Linked DNA regions of Nothobranchius furzeri. The protein of the gene in region 2 interacts with the protein of the main gene of each other region in a pairwise test. Links are inferred from orthologs where the notes say so. Each region holds a gene or a part of one and is shown on either strand. Other genes may lie near its edges.

Region 1 (4,254 bases), on a different chromosome or scaffold from region 2:
ATTGGATACTCACGCTGTCCAGCTGACCTTGGACGAAAGCCAAGTTCGCCATCTAAACAGGACAGAAAAAACAGTATTGCTGGATTGTACATATGTGTAGTACACATATTCCAGAGGGGGTGTGGCCTCTTCCTCAGGTGGACTGGTGAGGATTTACCTGACTATAGGTATAGATGATGGCCTGGTTGTTGTGAGTCTGATGAGCCAGAACCAGAACCTGATGGAAGAAGGAGGAGGCTGCCTGCAGCTGTCCACGATGTATGCTGAGCTACACACACACACACACACACACACACACACACACACACACACACACACACACACACACACACACACACACACACACACACACACACACACACACACACACACACACATATGGCTTTACGGCTGGATTGGTAACCTAATCCTCGTTTAGCTTCTTACTGAAGAGCCTTCAATATATGCCCACCTACTAGGTGGGCCATAATCTGGTATAAAAGGGATGTGAATCCATCATTCGTCTCCCAAAGGCTCTTGAACCTACAGGAACCAGCGAGGCTCGCTGCCTGAAGGGGCTACGCCTGTACTCATAGCATCTGGGGTCACAGTCAGTAACCATTCTTCTATTTCATAAAGGCTTCACCCTTAAAGGCAAGGCATGGGACGAAGGCGTGGCTGGATGTAGTCTGATTCTGAATGGTTCACACTGACCACCAGAACACATTAGTTAGCCAAAACCCAGATAAATCCCTCCCCAACAAGCAGCAGGAGGAACGATGATGACGAGTAAAAAGTCAACGTGCATTCACGCAGCAGGAGACCCGCTGACAGAAATCTCAGTTCCACCAACCCTGTTGGTTTGGAAAAGGGAGGGTCGGCTTGCTCATTTTTCTTTCCCTATTGTAAAAGTGGTCCACCCAGACTGCCAGTCACAGCACCACTGGGCCCCCTGCTGTTGCAGGTCCAGAGATGTCTGCAGCAGTAAGGTTGGGCTGGAGCAGATGCACAGTCCACTGATCGGGGACATGAATACATCACTACTTGCAACAAGAATTCCCACTTTGTTGTTTGTGTTTTCATCAGTTGTACATGAATGTGAAGAAATGGCAGCAAGTCATGTTCATCTTCAAAGTTCCACACCTTCCTCGCCGTCATCGTGAGAGTCCACACTCAGGAACAACTAGACAGATCGGTGTGACATTTTCTTCTCAGTGGACGGCAGCCGAAGGATCTGAGTGGACGTCAGAACGGTGTTGGGCCACGCTGAAGAAATTACAGCCCAAAATAGAAAAGTTAGAGACAGAAAGAACTGGAATGAGTTCAAGCCGAGCAGAACCACTGGGGTCGCCACCAGCATCAGGCCCAAAGGTCTCATAGCCAACAGAGCCATGACGGTTCTGTCAGGTGTTACATGGAAGATCACAGCAGAGATCTCGTATGAGACGGGCTCTAATGAGGGAGGAGTCTGGTTCCACGCCCAGGAAAATAAATGACCTAGGATTTCCAACATTCCCTTTTGGATTGCTGTTTCTGCTGTGGAGTGAGCCAGGAGGAGCAGGTCTTTCAGATGAAGCAGAAATCTGATGACCACTGGGCGTTTATTTGCTCTTGAGTGCGCAGCATGAAGAAGAAATGGGAGGCCGAGGCCCGCCCAGTAGGCGGGTGTATAATAATGGCCCTTGAGTAAGTGGCTAATTGAGAATCGGGTAATCCAATCTCTGCCGTAACGGACGATGCATATACAAACGAGAACTGTAACTGCTGGATCTGATGCAGTCAGGTAGAAGATCTGGTACCTTGGCTTTCTTCAGCAGCAGGATCATCTCATCTTCCTTCGTCTGATCTTCATCAGACCTGAACAGGGAGAAGGCTGCAGACACACAGGGAGACAACCCAGGGTCCAGACCAGGAAGCAGAGTCGTAGTTTAACCCACCCCTCTGCAGCTTCTGTACTGTTACCCACCCACTACCCCATAGAGACAGTGTCCTGCCCATGGCCAAAACCACACAGATTAAATATCAGGCTTAATAAAGCAAACCAAGGAAATCTCATAAATATTAGAAGAAATTCAACTGAGCAGAAAACTAGAAAAATTAAATGTGGGTTATTGAACATTAGGTCTATGTTTTCTAAGACTTTGTTAGTTAGTTAGTGATAATCAGATCTATTTGCTCTCTCTCACAGAATCCTGGCTGCAGCAAGAGGACTATGTTAGCTTAAACGAGTCGACTCCTAATTATTTAAATCATCATATTGCTCGAAGTACAGGGCGAGGAGGAGGAGTAGCAACCAGTTTTCATTCAGACCTATTAATTTATGTTATTTTTATTTATCCAGATGAGTGGATTGAGAACACATTCTCATTTGCAACGAGGATCTGGCCCAGAGGCAGCTGCAGCAGACACCCTCAGGAGGTCCGCAGGATGTAGTTAAAAGTCTTCAGCTTGTCCAAAATGCTGCAGCTAGAGTTCTGATGAGAATTAAAAAGAGAGATCATATCTCTCCTGTCTTAGCTTCCCTACATTGGCTACCTGTTAAATTCAGAACTTCACTACCCAAACTGGACCGACTCACCAATCGCTGCACACAGAGCTGCTCCTCCTCCTCCTCTTCGTCCTCCTGCTGCTCCTCCACCACCAAGAGGAAAGGTTCCGCCGCTGGTTTCTGGTCTGGTCTCAGTTACCCAGAAGTCCAGATGGTGTCCAAAGATGAGACGCTTCCTGTTGGACATCACAAACCCATTCTTCCTCAGCGGAACCATTGAATGTTCCGAACAGAACCGCACCAACTCATGCGCCCTCATGAGCAGCGGCTCAGTGACGCCACGAACAGGTGCGCGTTAGCGCTATGTATCACCGAGACCGTAGTCTAGTAATCCGTGAACGGAAAACTTACGTGTGTCCTCCAGAACTCCCGAACCTCTTTACAACTCGGTTAAGGACGGCACGAAGCATGCATGACGCCGCCATCTTTTTTGTTTACATAATAAGAGGAAGTCAGGCGGTGGGACTCCACGCTTTCACAATAAAAGCATCATTGGAAAGTTTGTATTACTGTTTTTTTAGTTGGCAACAGGTTAGTAGTACTAGTGTATCTGATTTCTAAGTAAAATACTGGGAATCTGACTCAATATGTACCCAATCATCTGTCTGGTTTTTCAATCCGGTTCACTCTCCTGAAATGTGAGCCTCTATAGTCTAAAACAGAATCTCCTGCTTCACTCATTTTAGATTTAGTGGCAGAAATGGTGTCCCTACCATCTACCACATCCGCAGTAGTAGCCCAAGCCTTTCTGTTATCCTGGGTTGCTCGGGTTGGCCCACCCTCAGATATAAGTTCAGACAGGAGCACCCAATTCATCTCTGACCTTTGGTCAGCCATGGCACACAACCTGGGGGTCAAAACGCACCGGACCACAATTTACTTGAATTTATTTGACAGATGCTAGTTGACTCGACCGCCTGCCCTGGGTCATGTTGGGGGGGGGGGGGGGGGGGGGGGGTAGGGAGACGGTCTCCATTGACAGGCTAAAACCTTCACATGTCCTGTGAGATGAAACCCAGTGAGCAGCTCGGGCTCCCCGTAGAAGGTGGCCTCCGTCTGCCATTTGTTCAGACCCACAGTGACGTGTCTTTGCTGTTGCAGCACCAATCTAACCTCCCCAACCCCACACCCCTCAGGTTTAGCCACTCAGATCGCTTGAACAGGGCCAGGAACTTAAATATTTATGTTTATGTATTTAGCAGACGCTTTTGTCCAAAGCGACTTACAAGTGATAATCAGCATTTTGCCCTTGAGGCAAACAACAACAATAACAACAACAGCATTGACATCAGTCATGGAGAGTAGGGAACAAGGAGTGGACAGTAGAGAGGGGGGACAGGTGCAGGCAAGGTGCTAGTTAAGAAGATGCTCTCTGAAGAGCAGGGTCTTCAGGAGTTTCTTGAAAACTCCTGTAGTCATGTTAAGTTAAATGTAACAGACCATCTGGGTGTTCAGGAGGCTGTGTGTAGGGGACCACAAATGTATTTTGGTCCCATGCTATTGAGTGATTTATAAACTAGTAGGAGCACTTTGAAGTCTATTCTGTAGTTTACTGGTAGCCAGTGTAGAGATCTAAGAACAGGAGTGATGTGCTCCGTTATCTTAGTTATTGTTAAGACTCTAGCAGCAGCATTCTGAACAAGCTGCAGTTGCTTCACAGCTTTTTTGGGAAGACCAGTTAGGAGACCATTGCAGTAGTCCAGCCGACTAGAAATAAAAGTATGAAT
Region 2 (3,331 bases):
TTTATTTGAGGGACTCTTAAATATCCACATAATGAAATATACTGTGAAAATGTTTCTTTTTTGCATTTTTATTTAGTGAAAACGACTAAATTTAAGGAAATAATTAATAAAAATTATTATAGTTATTAGTATTAGTTAAAAATATAATGTTTTTCCTGTGTAAACTGTTCTCTCACAAAGTTGTTTTTCATTACTTTGTTACTTTTAATAAACTGTGTTAAAAAAGACAGATTGAACGTACAAAGGAGTTTAGAATAAAGTTTGTTTTTGTTTGTTGTCACTTCACTCAATTACTTTTGATGCTTTAGACATTATTGAAAAAATACCAGAAATTGATCTTTTAAAGGGATAGTAGGCAGTTTTGGCTTGCCTTTATCGCCCCCTAGTGTCTGTTAGTGAAAGCAAAAGTGAATCTCCTCTTCTTGCTGTACGTTCGTCTTTTTAACACCTTAATCTAACTGCTAATTGTCTCCCCAGCCTTCATCAGGAGGGATTCATCACTGAATTAAACAAATCAGCTGTGTTCATGATCTAAACCATGCAGAAGACATGCTGGAAGCGGACTGCAGCGCCAGCACGTCAGCTCCACATCAGACTAAAGTGGGACTTAACAGGGAGCTGCTCAGATACTTTAAGATGGGTGATTCATTCATCTTCGTTGTAGTCATTTTGTTTTTCTCTACGTAAAACCTAATTTAGGGTTTTTCAAGAATATCACAGAAACAAGTCTGAAGACAAGGAAATTATGAGTACTTAAAGTTTTATTAGCAAAAATATTTCATTTCCAATAAACAAATATCATCATTTCACACATTAAAAAGTTGTTCATGATCTCAGCCAAACTTGTGTCTGCTGTCAGGATCAGACAGCAGCTGCCACTCAGCTAACAGGAAGAATGAGTTAATGAAGCGAGACGAAAACAGGTACCAGTCTACACACACACACTCACTCAGGAACAGCAGCAGTGTGTGATGGTGCCAGTGCATTCTGTTCTCTCCATACAGAACTGGCAGAAGCTCCTGGGAGGTGACCAACCCAAACATCACGTTTCATCACCATACCACTCCATCCATCCCTTCTTGCCCTTCAAACACTTTCAACCTTCTTTCTGATAACTTGCATCGCCATCGTTCTGTTAAACTTGCACTTTTCACAATAAAAGTGCACTAGTGCTAGCATCACATTCACAAGTGGATCAAACAAGCTAACATATTCTCTTCTTTTTCCGCCTCTATCTTTTCCGTTCAGCCTCTTTGGGCTTCCTGTGACATGGAGCGACCCAGAGCTCTGGGGGCTTTAGTGAACTCCATGAGGACCGGTTTGATGGGGGGGAGGTCTCTGGTGATCTCGTCCACACTCCTCTTGCTGGGGCAGACCCCATCTCGTGTGGGGAAGGGCTGCAGGTCGTGCTCTGTGTGCGGGGCACCACGTCCCAGCCTGACACCCAGCTCTGTTGGGGTAAAGATGGGCAGGGGGAGGGTGTGTCTCTTTGGCAGCAACTGGTGCTCCTTCATCCCTCTTTCCACAGTGCCCACCCTGAAGACACCAGAGGGGCAGGTCTGGATCAGAGAGCGGTACTGCCACTGCCGGGAGAGGGTCTCTCTACGGGAGTCGTCCTTCATGCTCATGGTTTGTCTGTGGGCATCAGACGACAGTTCAACTTAGAGACTTAATAACACTCCAAGGTTAAAACAAGAGGAATCTCAGTACAAACCACTGAGTAGATGGAGCATGTGGTGTCTCACCTGTCCTGAGGTTGAGTTTTCAGATCAACGCTGTGCCAGTCAGCACTGTAGCTCTCCCTCTTAGCCGTGTTTTCCTCCCGGATGCTGCAGGCCAGCTCTGCTCCCACCACCATGCCGTTACTCTTCTCCAGTATGCTGCAGAATGGCATGTTTTCTACTGTCTGGGGATCTTGGGTTCCTGAAAGCTGGTTCTCTCTCTGAGACGTCTAGACTCTCTCTTCAGAGTGTTTGAGTGGCACAGCGATCTGTCCACAGCTTTTATAGACGCCCCGTGACTATTTCTGATTCACGTTGTCATTCTGCTTCCAGTGTGTACTGACATCTGACACCGACTACTCCGCGGTTCATTCCCGGACAGCTGGAATCCAAACTGAGGATGAGTTGAAGGGTGGTTGGCCAGAAAATCCCCCTGGCTTCTGAAAGCACTCAGCCCACTTCAGCGGCGGTCGCAGAGGGGACAGAACAATCGGCGCTATGAATAGAGGTATGATAAACTTGTATGTTCAGCTGTGAAACGGGACAGCAGCCGCTTTATAAGGACATTTCAGATGATATAATCATCATTTTTTATCGTTAAAAAACAACCGGGCCTCATGACAACACCAGCCCCTCCGCTGGACGTCTTTCAAAGCTCCAAAGCGTGTGATTCATTACCTCAGTGACAGAGCACCACTCAAGCTGTTAGCAACTTGGGTTACTGACCGAAACACACACACACACACACACACACACACACACACACACACACACACACACACACACACACACACACACACACACACACACACACACACACACACACACACACACACACACACAGACACACTCACCTCTGCCAGTTATGTGTTGGTGTTATGTTACTACCAGTCCCTGTCTCTGACTCATTCACCCACATGGGGCACTGAAATCATCATCACAACACAGATATCACTTATCACACACACAGCATAATAATAAGGCATCTAAACGACCAGTTAGGCAGGAACACCAATCATCTAGACTTCTTACAAACCTCACGCTTTCTTTCCTCTCATTGTGGGACTTATTCTCATCTCTTTTTATCATCTTTCCATGTCTTTACCATTCGAGATGGCGGTTTAGTGTTATTTTCGTGCCAAGTGCAAAAACGTTTTCACCTGTTTCTTAGCAACTTATCAGCTAGTTGACACAACATGACAGGAATGCTGCCACGGTGAGAAAAAAGGTGTAAAGCAGCCGCTGGCATCCCAAAGGTCATCTGTTTAGGTCAGAAAATCAGCGTGACATGTTTTTGTCATTTAAAGAGACTTCCTGTTTACGTCCTGCTCACTGTCAAAAGGAGGAACGCGGATAATGATGTTTTTGCTTGTGCGTTTTTAGCTAAATATCTTATAAATCATTTAACATGTTTTGATAAAATAAAATATTAAATAAACGGCTGCAGTGGCGCAGTGGTTGGCACTGTTGCCTAGCAGCAAGAAGGTCATGCAGAAGGACCCCTGGCCTGGGGTCCTTCTGCATGGAGTTTGCATGTTCTCCCCGTGGGTTCTCTCCAGGTTCTCCGACTTCCTCCCACAGTCCAAAAGCATGAATGTCAAGTTGATTGG

What was found.
Region 1: the proteins of tcap (region 2) and ttc19 interact in binary tests that used the Homo sapiens proteins (3 or more experiments, as listed by UniProt). The link is inferred for Nothobranchius furzeri from reciprocal best matches to the Homo sapiens genes TCAP and TTC19.

Annotation. Positions count from the first base shown.
Region 1 is NC_091751.1:33,600,164-33,604,417, forward strand, and holds the start of ttc19 (tetratricopeptide repeat protein 19, mitochondrial), read right to left. Parts: upstream 3,015-4,254; 5' UTR 2,953-3,014; coding exon 2,879-2,952; intron 2,704-2,878; coding exon 2,558-2,703; intron 1,853-2,557; coding exon 1,779-1,852; intron 269-1,778; coding exon 158-268; intron 53-157; coding exon 14-52; intron 1-13. UniProt on the Homo sapiens protein: Required for the preservation of the structural and functional integrity of mitochondrial respiratory complex III by allowing the physiological turnover of the Rieske protein UQCRFS1.
Region 2 is NC_091745.1:14,198,580-14,201,910, forward strand, and holds tcap (telethonin), read right to left. Parts: upstream 2,118-3,331; 5' UTR 1,895-2,117; coding exon 1,746-1,894; intron 1,636-1,745; coding exon 1,245-1,635; 3' UTR 744-1,244; downstream 1-743. UniProt on the Homo sapiens protein: Muscle assembly regulating factor. Mediates the antiparallel assembly of titin (TTN) molecules at the sarcomeric Z-disk.